Linked DNA regions of Mytilus edulis. The protein of the gene in region 3 purifies or fractionates together with the protein of the main gene of each other region. This does not show direct contact. Links are inferred from orthologs where the notes say so. Each region holds a gene or a part of one and is shown on either strand. Other genes may lie near its edges.

Evidence for each region.
Region 1: the proteins of DNA-directed RNA polymerase III subunit RPC8-like (region 3) and DNA-directed RNA polymerase III subunit RPC7-like purify together in Homo sapiens (co-immunoprecipitation; 4 studies listed by BioGRID and IntAct, counting the BioPlex papers as one, with this or other methods). This does not show direct contact. The link is inferred for Mytilus edulis from reciprocal best matches to the Homo sapiens genes POLR3H and POLR3GL.
Region 2: the proteins of DNA-directed RNA polymerase III subunit RPC8-like (region 3) and DNA-directed RNA polymerase III subunit RPC5-like purify together in Homo sapiens (affinity purification with mass spectrometry; 9 studies listed by BioGRID and IntAct, counting the BioPlex papers as one, with this or other methods). This does not show direct contact. The link is inferred for Mytilus edulis from reciprocal best matches to the Homo sapiens genes POLR3H and POLR3E.

Annotation. Positions count from the first base shown.
Region 1 is NC_092347.1:19,547,564-19,556,145, reverse strand, and holds the start of DNA-directed RNA polymerase III subunit RPC7-like, read right to left. Parts: upstream 3,376-8,582; 5' UTR 3,358-3,375; coding exon 3,241-3,357; intron 488-3,240; coding exon 295-487; intron 1-294. Other genes in the region: ATP-dependent clpX-like chaperone, mitochondrial, read left to right, coding at 3,823-3,895, 7,818-8,033. UniProt on the Homo sapiens protein: DNA-dependent RNA polymerase catalyzes the transcription of DNA into RNA using the four ribonucleoside triphosphates as substrates. Specific peripheric component of RNA polymerase III which synthesizes small RNAs, such as 5S rRNA and tRNAs.
Region 2 is NC_092352.1:63,261,223-63,269,705, forward strand, and holds the start of DNA-directed RNA polymerase III subunit RPC5-like, read right to left. Parts: upstream 3,547-8,483; 5' UTR 3,514-3,546; coding exon 3,478-3,513; intron 1-3,477. Other genes in the region: H(+)/Cl(-) exchange transporter 7-like, read left to right, coding at 6,172-6,297. UniProt on the Homo sapiens protein: DNA-dependent RNA polymerase catalyzes the transcription of DNA into RNA using the four ribonucleoside triphosphates as substrates.
Region 3 is NC_092352.1:85,911,016-85,919,585, reverse strand, and holds the start of DNA-directed RNA polymerase III subunit RPC8-like, read left to right. Parts: upstream 1-5,057; 5' UTR 5,058-5,184; intron 5,185-5,746; exon of another isoform or gene 5,747-5,858; intron 5,859-8,570.

The DNA.
Region 1 (8,582 bases), on a different chromosome or scaffold from region 3:
TACATTCAAAGGATATTTCTAAAGGTTTAAACTAAGATCACAGTGATACGTATACATATCCATTTTATACATAGAGCATATATGTATATGGGTTCATCAGTTCTGTTGGGTTTACTTGTTTGAAAGTGATTATTTTAAAGATTGCAGAGTACTAGAGAAGTTAAAGTTTAATGCTCTGATAATGCAAATTTTAACTGGATTCTACCATTCTAGATTTTGTTGTTCTTATGTTTCTTATTCTGTATAATATATGCTATAGCATGTTACATGTATATCATTCATCAAAATCTTTACCTGGATTCCATTGTCCCAATGTGTCTTGTCCTGATTGATATTTATCTGAATATCTATCAATATCTTTCCTTTTCTCTTTGGATTGTATGTAGTATGGGGACTTTTTCATAAAACCTATGAACTCTTTCTTCAAGGCACAAATATATTCATAATCTTCACTTTGTTTCAGTGGTACTGGTTTGAATTCTTGTGGCTAAAATACAGAGAAAAAATCAACTCCTGCATATACTATATTTCATGGCGTTTTAAGAGTATGCTTGTAACTTAGTGGTCACAACACACCACCTACCCACATTTTACTTCCTTCTTTATCCAGATAATCCACAACAAGAATGGTATTTATGTTTGCTTTGGACATGATATTGGAGATAAAATATAAAGTCAAGTGATTGGTACTCTGATCAGGGCTAAGATTTTGATCTCAATGTGGATCAATTTAATAATGGGACCAAAATAAATGAAATGGCAATACATGGTTTGATACAGCATCAAAGAAACCTAAATATTCAGTTTTTTATGAAATCAAATAAGTTAAATTTGAACACTTTAGACCATAAAATAGACAACTTTTTAAAAGGGATATAATTTCTAAAATCTAAATACACAGTTAGATTCATCATATATAAGAGAACCTCATGAATTCAAGACTTTGAATTAGACCCCATTGAAATAAGTCAAGAAATAATGTATACACATGAGTAGAAAAGTAATGTTTTTGGCCCTTTTTCAAAAAATCATGGTAATACATGTACATGCATAAATACATTTTTTTTTACCTCAAGTTATTGTTCCTGAAAACATAAAATCCTTGTTTTTTTGTGATTACCCCTTATTTCTAAAAGGGATTTGGCCATTACAAGTTACTTAATAAATCTATCCCAACCTTATTTTTGAGGTATGGAACCTTTTGGTACAATTTCATAGAGTTCCATACACTTACACTAGTTATTTTCACGAAACAAGAATTTAAGTGACAGTTTATTTCCCCTTATAATCCATACCAGTCAGAACAATATCCACCAAAATCAATCAAAACCTTCCTTTTGTGGTATTGAACCTTGTGGTACAATTTCAAAATCTATGTATACAACTATACTCAATTTCGGCTAGAAACCAAATGACATTTGGATCATGGTGATAATGTTATACCATATTAAATGACAGTGGTCTTAAAAACTAGGAAAATATGTAGCTTTATCATTAAAGTGAACAGAAAATGTTGATACAAATCTCCAGTATATTTATACAATGTAGGACTCTAAAGTGCAATGGGGTCTCTTAAGTTCAATGGTCACGCTGAAGTGCCATGGTATACGCTTAACTGTGATTCCTCCATACGCTTAAGCATAATGGTCTGCGAATGTATAGGCGTAAGAAATGTAGTTGTATTATGACGTTAACAGTCGTTTATAATAACTTTAAATGAACACACTGGAAGACAAATTACAAATATTTGATTAATAAGAACTTTTAAAGAGGCACTAGCTACCAGATATATAAAAAATCTAAAGTAAGAATTTTTTTGTTCAATCAATTATGAAAGTGAAATAATAATTCGCTTTTAGCAGCCAAAATGGTTCAATTTTGTCAAATTAAGCTAAGAAACATTGATAATTAATTATTCACTTGCAAGTCGACCTCATTAAATCCGTATTTTTGTGAACTTCAATTTAACCCCCTAGCTAGAGATTGACAACGCATGCATTAATATTGTAAGTGTACTGGTTGTTGAAGAAAAAGAATCAACAATGAAAGTGAAACTCAGTATCGATCCACATAAAATCATTCTTATACGGTCATGACGGTTAAAACAATGAGAAACATATATTTTTAATCTATAAAATAAAAGACCTATAAAAATCCAATTGCACATGTTGGTTTAATCTATTCATATCTTTATTTATGTTTACATTGCTTATATGGTCATCTGAGGCCAAATCAATAGTTAATTAGATGGCGTCTGTACTAAAATACACACGAAATGAACCTACATATTATCTACCCCATGCTCTGTAAACTGTTTATTTTAGACTTTTGATAGTTTGGATAAATGTTTAACATTGTTATAAATCGAATATTAGAATTTGAGTCAAATCGGTGACCATGAATTTGACAGCTAGCATTGGCTAGTGCCCTTTAAACCAGATGTCAATGAATTTATTAAATTAAACCTAACTGTGCTCACTGGTGGATCCAGAAATTTTCATAAGTGCTGGCCCGCTGTCTGCCTAAGAGGGGCCCGCTCCAGTCACGCTTCAGTGATTCCCTATATAAGCAACCAAATTTTTTTCCAAAAAGGGGGGGCCTGTGCCCGCTGCCCCCCTAACTCCGCCTCTGGTGCTTTGTCGGCTAAAGCAAAGGTCTTTTATTTTGGTAGCTGGAAAAAGAACTGGTGCATGACGATAAAATGTTCACTTTCTTAAACACGATAAAATAATTAAATAGACAGATTCTTTTCCCTAAACTAAATTACTAACTTCATGGCGCTAAACGGTAATGGTAGCCAAAAAAATGACAGTTTAACGCCTGACATTAAACAGCATTTCTACCCACAGGCACTCAGTCTCAGAATACACCTTATCGCTATTTGTCCGCCATTACTGGATATCACACAGGTTCCCGTAAAAATTTGACGTCATAAAACAAAATATCTGACGCCATAATGAAAAAGTGATTATTGTATGCGTCAAAAGTTCAAGCGGCCGGGTCAGCCGGGATTAGCGATAAGGTGTATATATATATATATCCCCTCCCCCCCGCCTGGTATACCTTTATATAACACGTTTTTTTTCTGAGACGAGTGCCTGTGTTTCTACCCTCATATATTATTCTGAATGAGAATGAAATATTTTTACTGGACTCAATCAATCAAATTATTTATCTATTTCATCATCACTTGGTTTTTCAATATGACATGATGTCATCTCTGCTTCTTATTCTATTTACCGGGAAGAGCGGTGGCGGTTGAAGAACAGGCCCTATGGGTACTTCTCCCTTGTTGATTCCCAAAGCTTCTACATTGAAGGATACAGTTCTTCCTCTACCTCTGCCTCTGCCTGCCATTGGCCTGGTCAAGAATAAAATTGTTGACTGGTGGAAGCGGCCATCTTTAGGGAGATTTCCAAACACGGAATATCGAAATTAATATTTTGGATAAAAAAACTACGAGATTTAATTTCAATTAAACAACTGGGGTATATCAAAATGATAAAAGTGTTATTTCTTTAATTTTCAAGATTAAAACATTTACTTTCAAAGTTATTTTATATATACTTTTCTGTGAACTACGATTTCTCCCCGTAACCTTGACCTTAAAATGTCAACAATCGTTGAGATGGAAGACTAGTAGAATTCTTATATAAAACTGTTTAATGTTGAATATCCTCTCTGCAAACCACACATTTCGTGATATGCGATAGCGCTTAAGCACTTCGACTTTTTTTTAAACACTACCGTTTGAAAACTAACCTGTTGTCGATCAAGTTTAGGAAAAGTAACATTTTTAGATTGAAATTTTTATCAACAAATATGTCTGCATCAATAAGACTTTGCAGTAGCCCTGTTCGTCATATGGTTGCTTCTACCTTCAGAAGAAACATTGGTAAGTATTTTCTAAACTGTGAGGCAGATGTCAATGATGAAAAGTGAATGTAATGTATAAATTTGACAACATGCTTATGATGATGAAAAAAAATTTTCAACTATAATTTCAGCATTTCTAGGAAATATTCTATTTAAAGCACACAAATATACACAACTGAAATGTTTTTGACGGAAGTGTAGATATCTAGTAAAGGTCAATTATGACAGCACCTTAACTAAACCATCATTTTTAATTTTACTACATGTACATGTAACATAATCCATATATGTAATCAGTCTGGACATTCTTGAGACAGTCACACCAATACGCTTGAATCCTACTATAATCTTTCCATTCAAGAATTTGGATATAGATGACATTATTCTAGGTGTGGGGTCATTAATATTTTATTTTATTTAAAAAAAAAATAGTGATGAAATTGATCAGAAAAACTTTCTTCAGTTTGAAAATGGTTTCTTAGCCAATGACTAGCACTGGCAAAATGACTTTGGTGAGGGTTACAAATTTGAAAAAGAAGATGTGGTATGATTTCCAATGAGACAACTCTCCACCTCTCCACAAGAGACCTAATGACACAGAAATAATTAACAGCTATTTATTTAATATAGGTGCAAACAGAATAGAGTGTGTGAAATTCTATAAATACTTAGGATTAGTTCTTACTAATACTGGAAAATGTAATGCAGCTAAAAAAAAACTATATGATAAAGGACTAAAGGCTTCATTTAAATTTTACAAAAACATTAAGTCATGTTCTCCATCTATTAAGACTTTACTTCATATTTTTGATCACACCAACAAACATTGGTTTAAATTTAGTACTTTGTAAAAAACTCAGTAAAAATAAATTCAAACTTTACTTAGAAAATGTATCAAAACTGATTTTTTAACATATTGGAGCAATCAGTGGCGTAGCTTGCATGTATGCTCGGATGCTCAAGCATCCACATCATTTTGAAAAAAATAAAATAAAAATAGCAGCAGTTTAACTCGGAAGTATCCAAATGTAACAAGGCTGAGAATATGAAATCATATGAGGATAACGTCCAGTCATTTTCGAAGCAGTATGCCTGGTCTTGCATTTAGGATAATTTAGTTTATGTAAACAAGATAGTTGAATCGCAGAATAGTGTTCCAAGTTAACTTTTGTTCGTAAAAAGGTCTACGTCATCGGCTTAGGCAAGCGGAAAGGACTGATACGCAGACCCGTGGACATGTTTCATCTAAAATCATGAACCTAGTAAAGTGATGGCTTCTCATTTGACTATAGCAACTAACAAATAAAACACCATATCATGATATCGTTTCTTGCGACATGGTAAACGACGTGATAAAAATAAAATCAATTTGTAATAGATCGTAATAAGTCCGATGCTTATGAATTCCAGTTTCTATCTAGGTTCAAATACTAATTTTATTTTCAATGCACATTATATGTCATATTTTATCTATCAAAGGGCAAGGAACAAGGCATATAAACTAAAAAAGCACCTTTTTTCTTTTTCTTTTTTCTTTTCAATATCTTAAGAGAAATAAAAGCTTCACAGCAAATGAAATGTGATTTCCATTACAATTTATATTTCAAAGGGTCATAACTGGTTAAAAATATTTGATTACGACTTATTTTCCAAATTGTTAAAGACATTGCTTAAGATATGAGTTTCACTTAATCTAACAAGAATTGTACACATGAGAGTGCTAACAAGACCAGATGATCGGACGCCTGGTATTTTTATGTCTCCTGCAACGCGTTTAGCTCAGTAATCAAAAATCAAAAACCCATGGTTGTAGACTCAAATTCCTGGAAAGAGAAGTCACTTCAGTTCCTATATTCCGAAGTTCCTAAATTATACAGAAGTGCCGCTGTAATGGGGTCCGTTTCTCATATGTCAAATATAAGATTGGGTGGGAAACTTTACATCAAATATTTATGAATTGAATGATGGTAGTTATATGTTGAAAAAATGAACGAAAAACAAATATGTAACACAGCAGCAAAAGGACAAGCATTGAATTACAGGCTGCTGACTTTGGACAGGCACATACAGATTCACTATACATACAGAATGGGGCAGGTTTAACATGTTAGCAGGATCCCAACAGTTCCCAAATATAGGACAGTGGTGTAACAGTGCCACATAAGAATGAACTATAGAAATCGGGTGAAATATATAAAATGTACTAGATATGATATATGATATAGCAAAAACTTGTGGAAGAGACAGGGTATAAGTACATCCCAACAACAAAAAGACACTAAGTACAGATCTGAGAGTACTTGTTACTGACATCTAGTTCAAAGCCGATAACCATGATAACCATGATAACAACTAATATAAAAAGTCATGCATCATACTCATAGACTTTTTTCATTAATGGGTCTTTATTTTTGCTGGAATTCAGGAGTTAGACATTGTTTGACATGTATCAGGACTATGGTCATAATTGTGGAGATTGTTTTTGGGGAAATCAGGCCGGCTAGGATAGAATGCTTTTTTGGAATTCTGGATTCAGCATTTAATTTTTCCTGAAATTTGGGATGTCATTTGTGGCTTTAAATTGCTTAAAATCTATGTCAGAAAAACAAATTGAGTAAAGGGAGGAATTGTCTTGATTTAGATGATTTTCCTTCATATAAAATTGCAGCAGCTAAGATAATTATGATGAATGATTAAACTGAAATAGTTATATAATTAGAATTCAATATTGTATGTAAGAAATCTGTATACAGACACAAAAAAAACAGCAGGTGAGAGCTGCACAGCAACCTTCTAAGTTCTGCATACACTGATTCAGTTTGACAAATTCACACCTTGGGGACCTCAAAATCAGCATACCGTCAATGACTGTATAGTCAAAGAATTGTTTTGCTAATGGAAATGGTGTGAATCATTGGTATTTGAAATTGGCAAAACTAAGGTGTCACATAAGAGTCAAGAAGATTAAGAACAGAAATTTAACAACAGTTTAATTAAAAATATAAACTTTCTGGTAAATGTGAACAACAGAAGATTATTAGCAGTCAGAGCTCAGACATAAATAAGTCTGAATCTGCTTTTGACTCATAGAGGTCTAAATTTGTAAGTTTTAGGATTTGTCTACCTTAAATGCAAGACAAAATACCACTTTAATAAGTCAAATATTGTTAAGCAAGAAATAATTGACCAGAATCAAAAAGTTGCAAATATCGAGTCCTGCAAGTCGATAAGTTATATAAATTGGTTAACTTCAAGACCCACGCATATTTATAAAAAGGTCATGCATCTAAATCAAATAATGACAACATTGAAAGACAACGCTTTGCCTTCTGAAGAAAATAAGAATGAGAGTCTAAAAAATCGGAGATAATGTTAATCAACATATCAATGCAACCACCTGGAACCACACTTGATGAGGTGAAACATCTGTGTTTAGTAATGATGTTCAATTAAAAAGGTAGTTAAATATAGATTAAGCTCAAGTCCTTGTGAACTCTCAGACTGGTTTTTGCTGTCATAGGTGGTGTACTTTGGCCACCAAGTAAAATTAGTTTTTTTCATCAACACAAATAGACCTAAATAAGTCTGTCATTTTCTGACACAGATAAGTCTAAAATTGAAAACACATTTTTATAATAAATACATGTTTTGACTTCTTAAAGTCAAAAACAAAAATCGACTTGTTTATGTCTGAGCTCTGACTGATTAGAGTAAAATACTATAAAAGGTCACAGACTGCTTCTACCAAGAAAACCAAAACAGATTCCTATGACCAATCTTTCTTTCCATACTTACCACAGTTGAGGTATTCAGAGCTGTTTTGAAGGCATGACTCCAAAATGTACATAGTTTTAACTGTAAAATACTGCAATATTTCAATTGTATATAGCTATTAAAGAGACATATGTTGCAAATCAGTTGTGTTATGTTTTTATTGACAGTTTGTGTGCAGAGGGTTTCTGATGTAAGAATTTTCAAAGTATGGCAACAAATAAGTGCTGCACCAGGCAGTTACCGATTTATGTGTACTGGGAAAGATGGCGGAGGCGGAGAAGAAGGAGGTGGAGGAGGAAAAAATTTCAAACCACCTGGTGACATAAAATCTTTCAAGTGTCATAAATGTGGCCATGAAAATAAATATGATTTAGCTGGGAAAGGTAAGTTTATATATTCTATCGTAAACTATTTCAAAGTGGTCTTTTTACTGAATTTCCTGTGTTTGAATTATATTTTCATGAAATTTAGAATGCAAATGGTGGAATAAGTTTTGCATTCAGATTCAAATCTTAAAAATTTACAAATGACCTCTTTCATGTTTATTTATGCAGAGGTTTAAAAAAAAATATTTTGTTATCAAAAATGTCTTGAAAAGTAAAAATAATCAAATAAAATAAGGACACTTAAACTGTATTTTCATTATACATATCTGGTTAATTTGTGAATACAGTTCCATAAATAATTAGCAATAAAAAGCCAAAGTTAAAGGATATTTTTTTAGTTGCCAAAGTTAAAGGATATATTTTTTTAGTTGAGAGATCTTTGATTATGTACAAGATGCATATAAAAGTTAGGGAATTTTGACTTTCTTTTAACAATATATAGTGATTCCAGTTTTAATATTTATTGAGGTTTTTAATTGAAGTTACTCTGCCGTTAAATGAGTGAAAGAATTGTGACTTCTTTTATGGAACTTACTTGTTTACATG
Region 2 (8,483 bases), about 23 Mb from region 3:
CAGACTAGTTGCGTTTCATTCGTTTGTTTGTTGGGAAAGGAGAGGAAATGCAACCGCTTGTACAGATAAACGACAGAATTACCATACAAGCATTTATAGTCAACACAATCAGAAAGAGTTCCCATCGTTAGACGGGGAATATGAAGGCTTCCAAGAATGAACAAGTGACATGTCTAACTCTGAACAGTTAGAGAACAGACTATCGACATCGAACGCTTGTTCTTGATATTTGAAACTGTATGCATATATATACGTATACGTTTATGATATAGTGATGAGTTCTGACAAAAACTAAATTCCTTCATGGTTATATCTTGCCATACGTTTATATTGGTTTGTAAGGTGATTACTCAAAATCGTTATTTGAAAATCCTGTTTGTGAGATGTAGATTCATTTCAATACAGAAATTTCGTCTATATATTTCACAAGTGTATAACACAGAGAAGCTCTGAAGGTTCATTACTCCCATTTTGTTTGGGTGTGAACCATCGATGTTTACAGCAATATAAAGGAATAAGGTGATGATGGTAGAAAGAACTATGGGCGTCATGTGGCAAATATTACATGCATATCGGACAATGAGTTGTCAATCTGTATGAAAAGTTTTCCAATACAACCATATTATTGAGAAGGAATGTTTACATGCTATACTCTCGTACTAGTATTACAGGGTTCTTGTGGCGTTCACCTTAGACACACATCGTTTTAACGATGTTTAAAAAAAGACAGAACCAATTTAATGTCATATTTCCCTATTTTTTAAATATAACTAAAATTCTTTTATCTGACAAGAATATCCCTATTTAGCGAACAAGTAATTTATTCTTTTTTCGGTTATTGAATACCAAGAAAGAAAATAAATCCCGAAATTAATTTGAAACTTTGATACTCAAAAGTTTCCCAGCAAAATATTCGCATCCCCTGGGGATAATTAGTGTTTGTCCAGTGGCATATATAACAATTGTGATGACGAATTCCTTCCTTTGTTTGAGAACAATCTTATTGAAATATAAATCTGTGATTTTCCTAGGTCCACAGCTTCAATGAACCAAAGCAAAAGTTATACATCGACCTGTATTTAAATCAAATTGGTTCTCTTCTTCTTTTGGTATACAACTGTAGTCTATCGACATTCGATAATTACATACTGTTGGCATACGTTGGCTAGCCTATTTACAACACTTTTACCCCTATTTATTCAAAATATATGTTTTTTTCTTATGTTCAATGTATTCACGTATATATTTTAAATTGCGCTATAGTTCCGTAACTTTATATCCAGTCGTATAAACGAATCGTCGGCAAGTGCGTACATTTTTTTAAATCAATATTTCTGGTCTGTTCCAATCTGTCCTTCACTATTGACAATGACTATATATTACATTTTCCCAAATTCACCCTTGGAAAAAATATTTAAATAGATTTTAATTTCATCAAATCTTATTTTTTGGGTATTATTTATATATTATGAATTATATTCTTTACACCAGAAATGTTATTTATAAACAAGCGTATGAGTTTAGTAATGACAAGTAAGACAGAGTTGTATATTATACATCTGATAGTTCAAAATGGAAAGTTATAAGTTATAAGTTATCAGCCGTGTACACTGATCAATACCTGCAGAAGTGAAACGATGCATGAACTTGCAAGCCCGACAGGAAATCGCTTGAATACCTGGACGTGTCACCTCACACCCCTCACAATACCTTTGGAAGTAATACCTTTAGCCATGCTGGTGATCAGATAAGGGAAGATCAAAATATACTTGAAAAAAGTTTATTACTTTAAAGAATTATGAACAAATTAGATTTTCGAAAACAATTTTCACGGAACACTTATTTATGATTTCAACTTTGACTTTTCACCTAATTCACATATCAACAGTTTAAAAACAACAGACCATGGTAATTTAAAAAAAGTAAGAATATTTTCCATATCAAGTTAGTTAGTCGTATTATACAACCGTACGATTGACAAGATATCGACAAGCAATTACGACTACATCGGTTACTGTAGTTTTGTTTCTTTGTGGTTTATAGACATATCGTTTTTATTCATCGGGAAAGAAGACAAGATGGCGGATCTCGGAGAATTGATACTCTAAATTTAAAATCGATGGTGATCGCTTATCTAGCGGAATAAAACTTTAATATCTATGAATTTGAACATTTTTATACAGAATGAACATAATATCAATTTTTGATTTTTTTGCGAAGTTTCCCTTTAAGGTTCATCATAAGGAATTGAAAAATATGGCCGTGTTTACACCTCAAAAATTACTATGAGTACAGACAAACTGGTACATCCAGGAAAGTTTTAAGGCATGGCAGGAACTAGATATATAAAAGTTATATGAAGTCTACGTTTCAGAAAATTAAAAACTTACCTGGATTTTGATGTCCATTTTTTTCCAGTCTGCAGAAGATAGCAAAATAAACAAACACCCCAGTCTTCACGATGAACTGTTAAACCTACAGGCCCGGAGCTCAATTTTTGAAATTTTTTAGTTAGATTCTGTTGGCCTGTAGATATGATATTTACAGGCCCGAGAGCAATTTTACAAGCCTGGGCTGCCTGGGCTGCCTGGGCTGCCAGGGCTGCCACTCAGCGTGAAGACTGACACCCGAGTTTCATTTGATACGGTCCACTCAGTTACACAGTTTAAACCTGTTAAATCACATATTGTTTACAGGTGTCTATTGTCCATCTATTGTCCATTTAAATCAATACTACTCACAACATTGATTATATGAGGGGAGCTTCTCAATCGTTTTCACGACTTAGTTAATTTTTGCACCTTCTGCAGGAACGAAAAAAAATGGATAGCAAAATCTAGAAAAGTTTATAATTTTCTGAAACATAAAATGCATTTAAAATTTATATATCTAGTTCCTGCCATCCCTTAAAACTGTTGCAGGTGTATAGGTTAGTCTGTACTCAGAGTAAAATTTGGGGTGTAAATACGGCCATTTTAGCCAAAAGGTTAAAGGAAAGAAGACCATGTATACTGCTTTGGAAATGATTGGACGATGTTCACATATCGTCACCCTTACATTCAGACACAACATATGCAATTATATATTTTTTTTTTGTCAAAATGATGTGGATGCTTGAGCATCTGAGCATACATGCAAGCTACGCCACTGACTGATAGATGGAATAAATGTTTTTACATACTCTTTCTTTGTTCGAAATTTTCCAAAAATATTTAAAGGAAAGAAGAGTAATTGGACATTGTGGATATAGTATGGTAAAATATGTCTGCTATATGGTGAAGTTTTTTTTAACTTCTTCAGTTCTTGAACTAACAATACCCCTCCCCCTTTTTCCAAACAACAATCCCAAATGATTAAATTTCAATTTTGTCAAAATTTTCAAGTATTTTATAGCTAACTATGTAACGCAAGTATACTATTCTATAACAAAATTCATTATTGAACCTGTCATTAGATTAAAATGCAATGTTTTGTCACCTCATGCTCAATCGGGTCGTCTTCTTCGTCCGACATTGTTCCGACTGTTATACTCACAGGTAAGTTAAATAGTGCTGATCCCTAACCTGGTTTTATTCAATTATTTTGATAAAATATACATATGATCACATATTATTTTTATAATATGATAGATTATTTGTAAGTTTTCCGTTTCCATTTTTATTTCCATACTTTTTTTATAATCTGTTTTCAACAAGATTTTTTCTCTCTCTTTGAGATACAAAAGAGAGTTTGGAATGGGGAGAGGACGGCTTACATTTTATTTTGGGCAGTGTCTGCGCATACCCGCATGCGGGTACGCGTAGTCAAATTTGACTTCGTAGGCTACGTGTACCCGCAACCGATTTTATAATAAACTGTCATATGATAGTGAAAGATGCACGAAAATGTCGGTTATTTCCTGATTTTGTGAGTCAGTTCAGGGAAGATAATGGCAAATTATATTTTTTAATTTGTATTTAAAGTTTTGGTTAGAAAAATAGAAATTAAAAGTAATTGCACATTAAAAAATAAAATTTGTATAATTCATATGTTAAAAAAGTGTGAAAGTTATTTTTCTAATAAAGTTGTCAAAACGACTAAAAATAAAGTTTGAGTGTATACAAAATTTAATAATACTTTATTTCCGTAAGCAAATACAGCTTATTGGATTTACACAATATAAATATCCAATAGATAATATACAGCATAATATAACATTTATACACAAATTATACAAAACAATGAAAGAATTAAGCGGAGTATGACATATAGACATATTAAACTAAAAATAAACATTTGAATAATTAACCATTACGTGCTTTTTCTGCAGAAAACAAATATTTTACTAGGTTGTTTAGCTCTTTGATATTTCTTACAGATAACAGCTACACTAATTCAGTAAAGTAGAGGGTCTCTAATAGTAATAACTATTTACATATTTACATCTGATGTCGTTATATTTATCACATTCTAAAATAAAATGATACTCGTCTTCAATAGTATTTGTATTACACATACTACACAAACGTTCCTTTCTTGCTATACTATAGTATCTACCTGTTTCTATGCATAGTGCATGAGCATTTATGTTATATCTAGTAATATAAGATTTATACAAACTGTTTAATGGACGACTAAGGTAAAATTGCATAGTGTTGCCATCTTGTAAATACTGATACAAAGTGCATTTCGGCGAATTTTCAAAATATGATAAACCTCACGTCTGCGTACATGAACAAAAATGAATTTAACATTCTGACTTCATATGGCTCAATACCCAGGCCTGTTTGATTAATTCTATTTCTATAGAGAGAATATAAAAAGGGGATAATGACTTCCTTTGCATCAATCCTGCGGTTACAACTAAAAAACTCTGAAAACTGACCATCTAACTTCATTAAACACAGGTTTTCAATTTAGAACACATAGGTAATACGATAAAATTCCATCCCGTTATTATATATATTCAAAATTACGCGGGCTCACGTTCCCAGGAAACAGACTCCTAGGAAGCATTAAAGAACCCTGGGCAAACGAACCAAGCCGTAGGCTTGCATTTCCCCCAAAAGAGTTATCTACACTTAAATGGCTTATTTGAGAAAAATATGATTCTAAAAACAAAAAAATGGATATTTGTTTAAATATTATGAATAATAAAGTTAATCACAAAGTTTTTTTTAAATCAATAAACAGTCGAACTAATAAATTGTAAATCTGTCTCCAAAACTGCAGATTTGGGCAAATAACTAGACCGATTTTGTTTTGCGATTGTATAATCCAAGATGTTGTTATACCATGGAGCTACCTTTAATCTATTTTTTTTAAATATGTCATACGTCATGTAATTATGGGAGTATTTTCATATTTAGAAGAACATTTTGCCGGCACTGATTAAGCTATCGTCTGTATAGTCGAGATTCACGTTGATAGTACTAGGCATGCTTATTTAAAGTTATTAGAATATATATGGTACAAATAAGTGTTATATATATTTAAAAAATCTGAGGTTTATGATAATAAAAGGGAGGGACTAGGGGGGGGGTCATAACAGCACCAATGTCACAGTGTGAAATAATTTCTAATAGGTGTAACAATTTTGACCCTCAGACTGTATTTGGTTTGAAGAGTGGACTATTTTTTTCAAGGATCAATTCATGGTAATATTCATTAAAACTTTAATCAATTTATTCTTTCAATATATACTATTATCGGTGTTGCAATACATTTTTTAATACGTTTTACCTCGGGACTTTTCTATTTTTTAATCGGAACACCTCGGCAGCTTCCCCTGCTTCGGAATAATTTTGATTAAATGTCAACAACAAACAACACGTGAGAGGATGGCGGAAGACGTCAACGAACAATCATCTTTGTTGAAACCACAGAAAAAAATGTTGAAACAACAGGTCTATAGTAACAAACAGTCATGGATAACTGAATATATTTTATAAGTTTTTCCTTCACCATACTTTCGGTTTCGCATTTAAACAATGAACTTTCTGAGTCATTTTTTACAGTTTTTGTTTTCTTTTCCTCTAGCTGCTTAAAAGCGGGAAACAAAAACTTATGAGTCAAATCTTAGAAATCAACCGGCAAAAAGTATTTAAAAATGTATGATACAAGGAAACAAATCTATACTTCATGTTCTTGGATATCTTCATTGAATCTAGAGATTGAAAGTGTTCAGAGAAAATGGCATTGATTGGAAAACGATGCACAGAATATATTGAACTTTCTGAAATAGGTTGTGCTCTCAAAAACACAAATACAACATCTTACGGTTCAACACAATTGGTGGAAGTTTCTGTAAACTTTTTGGTAATATGAAAATATATTGTGCTTGCCTTCATATACATGTGATAAGACCTGAGACAATAACATTTTATGTTTCAATCCTTTATGTATTTGTCAGTTATAAAAGCTCACAGATATGTATATCTGTTTATTAAGGTATCAGGTCAGTTTGCCCTAATTGCATGTTCGCCTTGGGTCCGTTCGCCCTTGGTACGTTCGCCCTACTTTTAAATAAGAAATGTCAATATTATAAAGGGCATAAAAATTTACAAAACTTATTCAGATATTTGAGGGGGCTGATGGGTTATTTCCGTTCTTCGTGATCGGCTCATTTTCGCTATCGTGATCCGTTTATCTACAGATTTATTTTTCGTGATTCGTGATGAAACCATTGTTCGTGAATCGTTTTCATTGGAATTTTATGTTCGTTCTTCGTGATTGAGACATATTTTTCGTTCTCGTGATTTTTTTTTCATTACGGAAAAAAAGAGTTCCATTGAGTTGTCTTTCTTGGCTTAAAAAGTTGAAGTGGCACGATAGTTTTAAAAGTGCAATTAGGTCATTTATTAGTGCAAGCTATGGCAGCCCCCATGGCTGAGAGCCACAGCAATAACATTGTCGAGGTTGTGATATTTTATGTAGATCCAACCTGTTTTGGACAGGAAAATAAATTTATTGGGACAACCAGCAGGAGTGGGAGAACAATCAGGCTCAGCAGTAAATTTTATTGACAAAATAAATATATATACTTTATAATCTCTTAGTTTAGCCTCAAGATAAAACACAGATGTGGTTCCATGGTATTTACGCCAGTAAAACATTTCTATGAAATATTATTATTATACAATAAAAGAAGTCAGAATGTGACTGTTTTTAACGATTTAATTTAGAACCTGGGAGAATTCAACATGTAAACAAGTAATGAGCCAGTAATGTATTTGATTGTAGCTTAATTGCACCAAACAACCAGCTTCTGAATCTCTATTATCGAGATTGATTGGTGATACTCTTCTTATATTTTCGTGATCTGTGATCATGGAAATTTATTTTCTGTGACTCGTGATTGACAAAAAAATCAACTCGTGAATCGTGATGAGACCCCCCCATCAGGCCCCTCATATTTATGTGGTCTATTCTTTGAATTTCTGAAAACACATAGAAAGCTTGTTCAATGACATAATACTTCTCACTGATTGTTGTAATATTTGTCTTTGATGCGGGATTAATAATAAAAACAACATTTTGTTTTAAGAAAAGAATTTACAAGTTCATTTATTATGAAACTACTTTAACACAATCATGTGATAGAGTAGTCTCAGTTATACTGCTTAAATCGACTGAATAAAATGATTTGGTAACAAATATTAAAATAAAGATAAATTATAAACATTGATTTGTATTCCAGTATTCTACCTATATGTAAATCAAAAGAAAACTATAAAATGGTTGAGGGAATACATATACATGTATTTGGCGAATTTCAACAAAATCTAACATATTCATATATAAATTATAAACATTATGCAACTAGACAACAATAAGAAAAAAATAAAATTCAGGGCGTTGGACCCTGGGCAAAACAGGTATCAGGGTGAACATGTACCAGGGCGAACGGACCGGGATTCGTTAATTTACATGCCGTCTATAAATAAAGCTTTGAATTGAATTGAATTGAACATGTGTTGCAGAAGCCTTAGATTAGACATACTAGAAACAACCTTCTAATAATATTAAAAAACATAAATTAAAAAAAAAAGATTTTTAATACCAGAAAAAAATGTAAATTTTTTGTCGGCCAAAAAATCAAGAAACACCTAAGTTCATAAAGAGATAACTGTTAGAGTGGGGCGCTCATATTCCCCGGGGACACAATTTCACCATTTCATGATTTTGAGGTGCAAAAACTTCAAAGGATGTGGGAAATGGAAGAAAGATGCCGGTAAATTATATTATTATAACAAATATTATTATTTTTTAAACTTACCATGAAGGACTGGAAAACAGACAACGATTTTCGGCCAATTTCCTGAATGAAAAAATGATTTCATAGAAGTATTTCTAAGACTGATTGCCCTAAATTTCAGTTCTTTACACCTTTGAAATGTCTGCTATTCATCTATTATTCTATAATGAAATTGATTTGATTAATATTGTTTAAAGCTGCAGTTATTTGGTTTTAAATAGATTTGTAAAATCGGCGAATATATGTC
Region 3 (8,570 bases):
GCAAATGTTTTTTTTCTTTTTTCTTAAGACTCACATCATGAAAATACATTATGCTGTAGTTTATCCAAGTTATTGACTTCAGGCAATAAAAAAAAATTAAAATTTTGTAAATTCAGAAATTATTGCATGCATTTATTATTGCAATTTTGTTAATTTAGACTTAAATGCGATTTTAATTTTTATGAAAAATCCTGATTATTTCATGGAAAATACTTCAAAATGTGAGTTTAAATTATTGCGTTTACAACTCTGTCGCATTTTTCGCAATAATAAAAACCTCGCAATAATTTCTGAATTTACAGTATTGGCTTCTTTACAGTCCTTAGCCATTTTGAAATTGGAAATGCTCTATGCTATCTGTCTGATTGTTAATTCATGTAGACCAGGGCACATACAATTTAGTAGTGTTTATACTAACATAGAGCCAAGAAATAGACTTATTGAAACAGAAATAGGGAGATGTGGTATGATTACCAATGAGACAAATAACCATAAAAATCTAAAGGAAATATTCCTATCGTAAGGTCAGTGGTTTTCTCTCGGCACTCTGGCTTCCCCCATCAATAAAAACTGGCCGCCACGAAATAGCCCAAAATCGGTGCTTTAAAGTGGCGTTAAAACACCGAAATTCAAATCAACAAAAGGAAAAAGATGTGAAAAATTTCAGGTCACCTTCAACAATGAGTAAAATACATTTTGTATTTCAGTTAACAGTGTAAGACTTTTTTTAAGGTAGTAGTTGAATATATTTTATATTTTAATGTCTAAGACAAATACAATGTATGATTGTTTCATAATTTACAATATATAGATGAAAATAAATCCAAGGCATCAAATTTACAAAAATGCTATTTTTTTTAACATTGGTTCAATACAGACTGTATGTTCCCCTAAGCTTGTGTATGATTATACTGCTATATTAACATATAGGACATACAACTCTAAGAATTTTCATCAACAAATAATTTTTAAAATTACCAAGAAAATAGGCATCCTACTGCATCGGGTAAAATTATTCTTAGCTAGTTTGTATTTTTCTGTTATGTTCCTTAGCTTTTGGTCACAGTGTAGTTTAAGAACTATTGGTGGTCCCGTTCTGATTCTGCTCTTTACCATTCTCAATTTTATACAATATTTGTTGGCATTTAAATATTTGGTTTTATTGTTGTTACATATTGAAGGTATATCAAGAAAAGATGCTCTACAGTAGCATTTTTCTATTCGACAGCAAAAAAATTTTAAATTTTGGTCGTATATTGGTATCACGTTAGTGTCAGCTTCGCCATCGCAGTGTTAAGGAGGTAATCTAATTTAAAGTTAAAGAATACTGTTATAAATATGTTTGATTACTTGATTACCTCCCTTACAAAGCTTGAAAATTATGTATTAAGAAATGATGATTGTCTTGAGATGTATAGCTGTAAAATTTTTCTCATTTTAGATTTCAGAAATTAAAAAGACTTTTTCTTCAAATATTTTTTTGGGAGGGGATTAATATTCAACAGCACGAAAGCAAAACAAAAATTTTAAGTTCATTAGACCATATTCATTCTGTGTTAGAAACCTTTGCTGTGTCAACTATTTAATCACAATCCAAATTCAGAGCTGTATCAAGCTTGAATGTTGTGTCCATACTTGCTTTAACTGTTCAGTGTTTCACCTCTGCGGTAGTAAAAAGCTGCGCCCTCCGGAGCATCTGGTTATCAATTATTTTGAATAGAACTCAACAGAGGTAAAAACAAATAGATTTCATGGATATTGAATTTTTACAAAGAAATAAGTCTCAGCATATGAGCAATATGTGCTACTGGTAATTGTAATTAGATAACACTTAAAAAGATCAGCCATTAATAATTAATGTAGATTATAGCCAGTAGATTTAGAACCGATAAATGACAAGATCTGTGATAATCCTGGCATTCAATTTTAGCTGTTATTTGACAAAAAAAAACCTGCTGTTATCTTTGGAGGTAGTTCATTAGATTTGTATTCTTAATCAGAATGATTAATACATCATTCACTGAAAATTTGGTAGCACTGGTCTTTCCCATGTTATCAATTGACAGAAACATTTCCAAAATTTAAAAGAACCTGTGTGAGCATACTCACATACCCCACGCCCCCACATTGACAGAATCTCACTAGATTCATAAGTTCAAAGACTATCTTCTCCAAAAGTCAACTGATGAACATTTCTTGTGATAATTATCAACAAAGTTTTATGAAATTCTGTTGTGTATATTTACAGGAGTTGCGATGACAAACTGTTGCAGTAGTATATTTAGGCAAATAAGTGCAAAGGAAAAAAATTAACTCCTAATTTCTTGTCGATATGCATTTCTACATAGTATGTCCTTATTATCTATAGATAAATTTTCATGAAATTCGGTTGTATGGTTTCAGAGGCGATTTGATGACAAGAAAAGTACTGACAAACAGACAGCCAGACTGACTGGTCAAAAACAATATACTCGGACTCTAAAATTGTGTGGGGTATAATTATATCTTATTTGAATGACAGTAGTTCAAAGTTTATTTTGCAACTAGATATCATTTAGGTAATAACAACTGAGGGGAATCACCAAGGTGAAAATAAACATATATATATAATCAGACATCATGGTCAAAAGTGCGTAGAGGCTCTAAAGAGCCCATTTCGCTCTTCAGGATGAATGTACATTTTTAGTAATGTCAGAACATAATAACAGAATATAATCCCATGTATAAAGATCTCTATTTATTTATCTTGTATTGCTGATGACTTTTCTGTTTTTAGTTTCTATCTACTCTAGTTTTGCCAAACACATAAATAAAAGGGTAGACATCATTATTTATCGCAGTAACTTTTTTTTTTAAATGTTGAATTTTTCGACTTTGTTTGGACTGCTTGTACAGTAGGTCTAGTCTTTTGATCATTTTTGCTTTTCTATAATTTCTCTCCATCTTTATATATAACTATTGCTCAACACAGAAAGAGGGCTTACTCTTCATTTCAGGGCAGTAATAGATCATATGTATAAAAAAGAAGATGTGGTATGATTGCCAATGAGACAACTCCCTACAAGAGACAAAAACGACACAGAAATTAACAACTATGGCCTTCAACAATGAACAACACCCACACCGAATAGTCAGCTATAAAAGGCCCCGAAAAAACCATGTAAAAGCAATTCAAACGAGAAAACTAACAATGTGTCAATTTTGTCGTGTTGCTATATTTACAGATCTTGTTTTGCTGGTCATTTTAGCTGTTAGTTTATAGTCTCTCTTTATCGACTGCTTTTGGCTAAATGTACAAAATATAGGTAAACATAATCGCTTAGGGGTAACAACTTATTTATACAGTTGTCGACTGACAATTTGGAACATGTAGACACATGTAGATGTCTTGTTTTGCTGATAATAATCAAATGCGCTAAACAAAGTGGTAAAAATCGTCATTTATGTTGAGAAGTCGTCACGTCACAAAAAAAACCCAAAAAAAAAACCAAAAGATTACACAGCACTAGACAAAATCCAAATCCAAGATCATGTATCATTGATATTCCACAATGGCCAACCAAATCATGATTGCGTCTGTAAAACTTTCGAAGGGATAAATTCAACTAAACCACTGGGAACACATAATACAATTGCTTGACTATAAGCAGAAACCCTCTACCAAGAAAATGATAGGATACGCTAGATCTAGAATGTCTTCTCGACTTGGCAATATATACTCAATATACGTGAGGAACTGATTGATTGGTGTAACCAAGAAATTGAAAGATAACAATGGGAAAACTAAAGTTATATATTAAAATTCAGCATTATGGTTATGTCTGTTTCAGAGAAAAAAATCTCGAATCAGAGTATTTGTTCTCACAAAGTATTATTTGTTCCTTCCTTGTTAAAACAGATATGTGTTGGCCATTCTGTTTTATGAATCAGTTTTAATATTTCTTCAATCTGTCTTTATGTTATACATATAAAGAAGTAGTGTGTTGTCCCTAAATGATGATGTTCAAATGTATTTGATATTAATTAATTGTGCATCAAGAGAGGCATTTTCATTGAGTTCTCAGTATTCATATCTATATCACCACCTCAGAGCAGCCCGTTTCACATTAACTTTTTGTTTGCTGATAAAATGTAGAATAATAATTTGGGGAGAAATTTCTTGGAGCTTGATGTGACAGTACCAGCAGGTTGTTTGTAAGTTATTTTATTTTGATATTCCGGCCTTACAGTGAAAAAAGATCTATAGTTCTTCATTAATGATTGTAACAATTGTTACTTTTATTATAAAGATGTCAATGTAGGTTCCAATAAAAACGGTTTTGTCTTAGGTCGTTGTATGCAGGAGCAATTCAACTTGTCATGTTTGGATCTTTGAAGATATAGATGATATTCAAATTATTCAATATGAATAAAAAGAAAAATAATGTAAGTATTTTTGAGACGACATATAGTATACAGATTAATGTTAATTTCTAGTTGCGACCTTAACTGTCTTCATGTACAGTACATCGTCCCTACATATACCATTCAATCAGAGACATATAATACAAGAGATTCGCAACTATTGTATGATATGTCTCTGATATTATATAATAGAAATTTAAATTGTAGCCTTCTACCCATGCTAACCATTGAGAAAAAAAATATAATAGTAGATGTTTTTAATGATAAGGACTTATAAAACTTTCTAGTCAGTCTTGCAAAAGTAGCAGAACACCATGCCCCCGGCAGACATGCAGTCGACTGTTTTATTGAAATTGATTCATTTGAAAATTAAAACCTTTCAAACCTTTGAAATGTCTTATTAGTGTCCACCGTTTTTGTTTAGATAAGTTCAATGTCCAGGCAATTATTTTTGAGAACCTACAAATTGTATGAAAAAATATTCTAGTCTTTTTTATACAGTTTTGATCTTGAAATTTTATGTTGAGTTGCACAAAATTTACAAGAAAAGCTGGTATCTTACGCCTTTCTTCAATAAATTATTCCACCGTTAAGGCACAATAACGTACGTTTGTATTCGATAAGTCGTCGGACTTCGGCGTACGTCTATGCCAGAAGCAAGTCTTACCAAAATAAAACGAAAGTACAAAGTGAAACAAGAAACAATGTGGAGATCAACGTCGAGATGACGCTTATAGAAGACAGTTGATGTCAAATATGTGCTAAATATTTTATCTGAAGGTATAATTAATGATGATATTTGAAAAAAATAGGCAGGACAGGAGTTTTGAGTAAAAAAAAGGCAAATCAAATCAAATCAAATATATTTTATTGTCAATTAAAGACGCCCATTACAGGCAGAATAATCACAAGTTAAATTTGGTACAATGATTACAAAATGATTACAATTATTTGAGTACAATTAAATCAATGATTACAACGAAGAGAAAAGAAAGACACACTAATGTATATTTATAAAATGTGTGACACTTGCACAAAAAAAAAAGTCAGGACGACAATTTAGGTAAAAAAAGTCAGGATAAACTAAAAAAAAAAGAAGGCAGGACCGATTAGAGTGAAAAATAAAAAGGCAGGACAGAGATTACAGCTAAAAAAAAATGCAGGTCAAAATTTTTCATCCTAGCCCCCCCATATAAATCAAATGGTAGCTAGCTCCCTTATGACGTCTGGCAAGGCTATTTTTTTTCTTTCTGAGAGGCGTCCCAGAAAAAAAATTAAAATAGCCTTGCCAGACGTCATAATTATTTGTACTATATCTGCGCGTACCCACATCCGGTTTTATAATGAAATGTCATCAGATCGGGAATAAAATGTGAAATATATACAGAATTTGACGTAATTAGTGAATAAATTGACTAAAACTAATCAGAAGATTTGTAAATATTTATATATAGGTAAGTGAACAGTTTTTAGCTCACCTGGCCTAAAGGGGGTATCTTATTTAAAAAATGTGTCAGCTGACCCAGCCAACCAACCAAGATGCCAACCATGGCTAAAAATAGAACATAGGGGTAAAATGTAGATTTTGGCTTATAACTCTGAAACCTAAGATTTAGAGCAAATCTGACATGGGTTTAGATTGTTTATCAAGGCAACATCTATCTGCCCTGAAATTTTCAGATGAATCAGACAACCGGTTGTTGGGTTGCTGCCCCTAAATTGGTAATTTTAAGGAAATTTTGCCGGTTTTGGTTATTATCTTGAGTATTTTTGTAGATAGAGATAAACTGTAAACAGCAATAATGTTAAGCAAAGTAAGATCTACCAATAAGTCAACATGACCAAAATGGTCAGTTGACCCCTGAAGGAGTTATTGCCCTTTATAGTCAATTTTTAACAATTTTCATATTTGGTTAAATTTTGTAAATTTTTACAAAATATTTTCCTCTGTAACTAAAGGGCCAAGTTTATTATAGATAGAGAAAATTGTAAGTAGCAAGAATGTTCAGTAAAGTAGGATCTACAAACAAATCACCATCACCATCACCGAAACACAATTTTGTCATGAATCCATCTGTGTCCTTTGTTTAATAAGCACATAGACCAAGGTGAGCGACACTTAAGAGCCTCTAGTTATTTCAGTTAATAATTATTCATTTAAAAAATTGAAAAGAGTTATAAACATGTGGGTAGACATTCCATTGGTATCATGAATTAGAACAGTTGATTAATTTTATACAATTAAAGTTTAAGGGACGACATCAAAAGTTCAATGTAAGAGAAAAAACTTAATTCATATACCATAGTTTTTCTCTGACCACCTAACACCCCCCCCACCCCATTTAAACAAAACTTGCAGGAATTATAACCCCACCCCCAAACTATTTGAATTAAGTTTTTTATTTTCCATAGATTTTTTGATGTCGTCCCTAACAGAATACATTTTTCATGTAATGTCATGAATGTAATGGAGGCAAAAAATTCCAAACAAATTTGGTAGGAAAAAGGCCTAATACAAAGTATTTGTTTTAAAGTGCAGTATTAAATCGAATTTGCCACGTTTTATACATTAGTCACATCTGAGACTACTATGTGTTATAGTAGTCTCAGGTCAAGTTTTTTTTATGTCAAATACTTCTAGTTTTACTATTTTAAACCGTTCTTAATATAAAGGATATATGTATGCCTACTTTTAGTACATTTCAAATGGATTGTCCTTTCCACTTTAAACTTGGCATGACTAAAGATGGACAAAACCTGATTGCGAGGGAAGCAAAATGTTTATTTGAACATCTTCTGTTTTACATTTTACTAAAACATTTAAAAAAAATCTCATATGGGTATTTTTCAAATTCAGTAAAATTTAATTCTTTAAATTTGCATTTACATTTTATAATAGTATTCATTTTTATCAAGTTTTTTTTTTTACAGGGACTGTACAGTCTCATTTTCCATCAAAGGATGTGCATTTAATTTGCAATGTTTATTATGTATCATTATTAAATAAATACAATTTGAAAATATATTTTTTCATACTCTTCACTCTTTCTACACGAGATCCCCATATTATCGATAATGTCCGTTTATATTTCATGTTTCATTCTGGATCCGATGGCATGTTTTATAAAACAGGATGTGTCACTGTGTACCCGTAGCCTACGAATGGCAAGTTGACTATTCGTACCCAAATGTGGGTACGCGCAGACACTGCCTTTAATTATACCGAAAGAGACAACAGATATAAATGTTGGGGTTAATTAAATCAACTTTCGTTATATATGTGAAGAAAGACAACTATACTGTTTAGCGTTTGTTTCATGTGTATTCTGAATGCTTATAGGCTACATCCTGACTGGTGTCAAACCTTGATACATAAGGTACATATGAAAAATGTGACATGGCAACTACCACAGTATTCTCCAATCCTGTAGCTGCATTTGAAATTTTGCAATATATTGACGTTTGTGGTCAAATAGTTTCACTGGCAAATAGTTAAACGCTTGCACGTTGAAAATTAATCAATATATTGTGTACTGACTTTATATATAGGAAATGATAACTGAGGTACATGTATAATAAGGACATGTATGGTGCCAGGCAAGGATTTGTATTGGCCTTGGACGAAATTTATTAGGTCCCATCTTTTAGGAATATATTAGACTTGTTAACTAGTACATGAAGTATTCAAACACTTCTTCAAACTATGTATATTTTCTCCCTGCATTGGTGGCCTTGGGCTGTTATCTGTTTTTTGGTTAGGTTGTTGTCTCTTTGTCCCCATTTCCACTCTGAACTTCATATTGAAATAAGCAGCTTTTAAGTCACCAATGCAGTAAAGAGACAAAATTTTTGCTGACATGGCCTACATTGTCATGATGGTCTGTTGCCAACTTGGTTAAATGATTAATGAAGACAGAAAATATTACAAATATACTAGCACGGAGGAAACACCCTCTTAAGTAGTAACAAAAAGGCAATGTAAATGTAAAACTGCTATCATTTTTTGGTAAGAATATGGACGATTACTGCATTCATTGTCTTTATTCTTAGGATCACCCCTTTAAAAACCAAACATTTCGCTTAATGAATGCTGTGTCCAAGTTCCTCGCTATTTGTCATTTTTTTTTTTTACTGAATATCACATTCTTTCCCATAAAATTAGTACA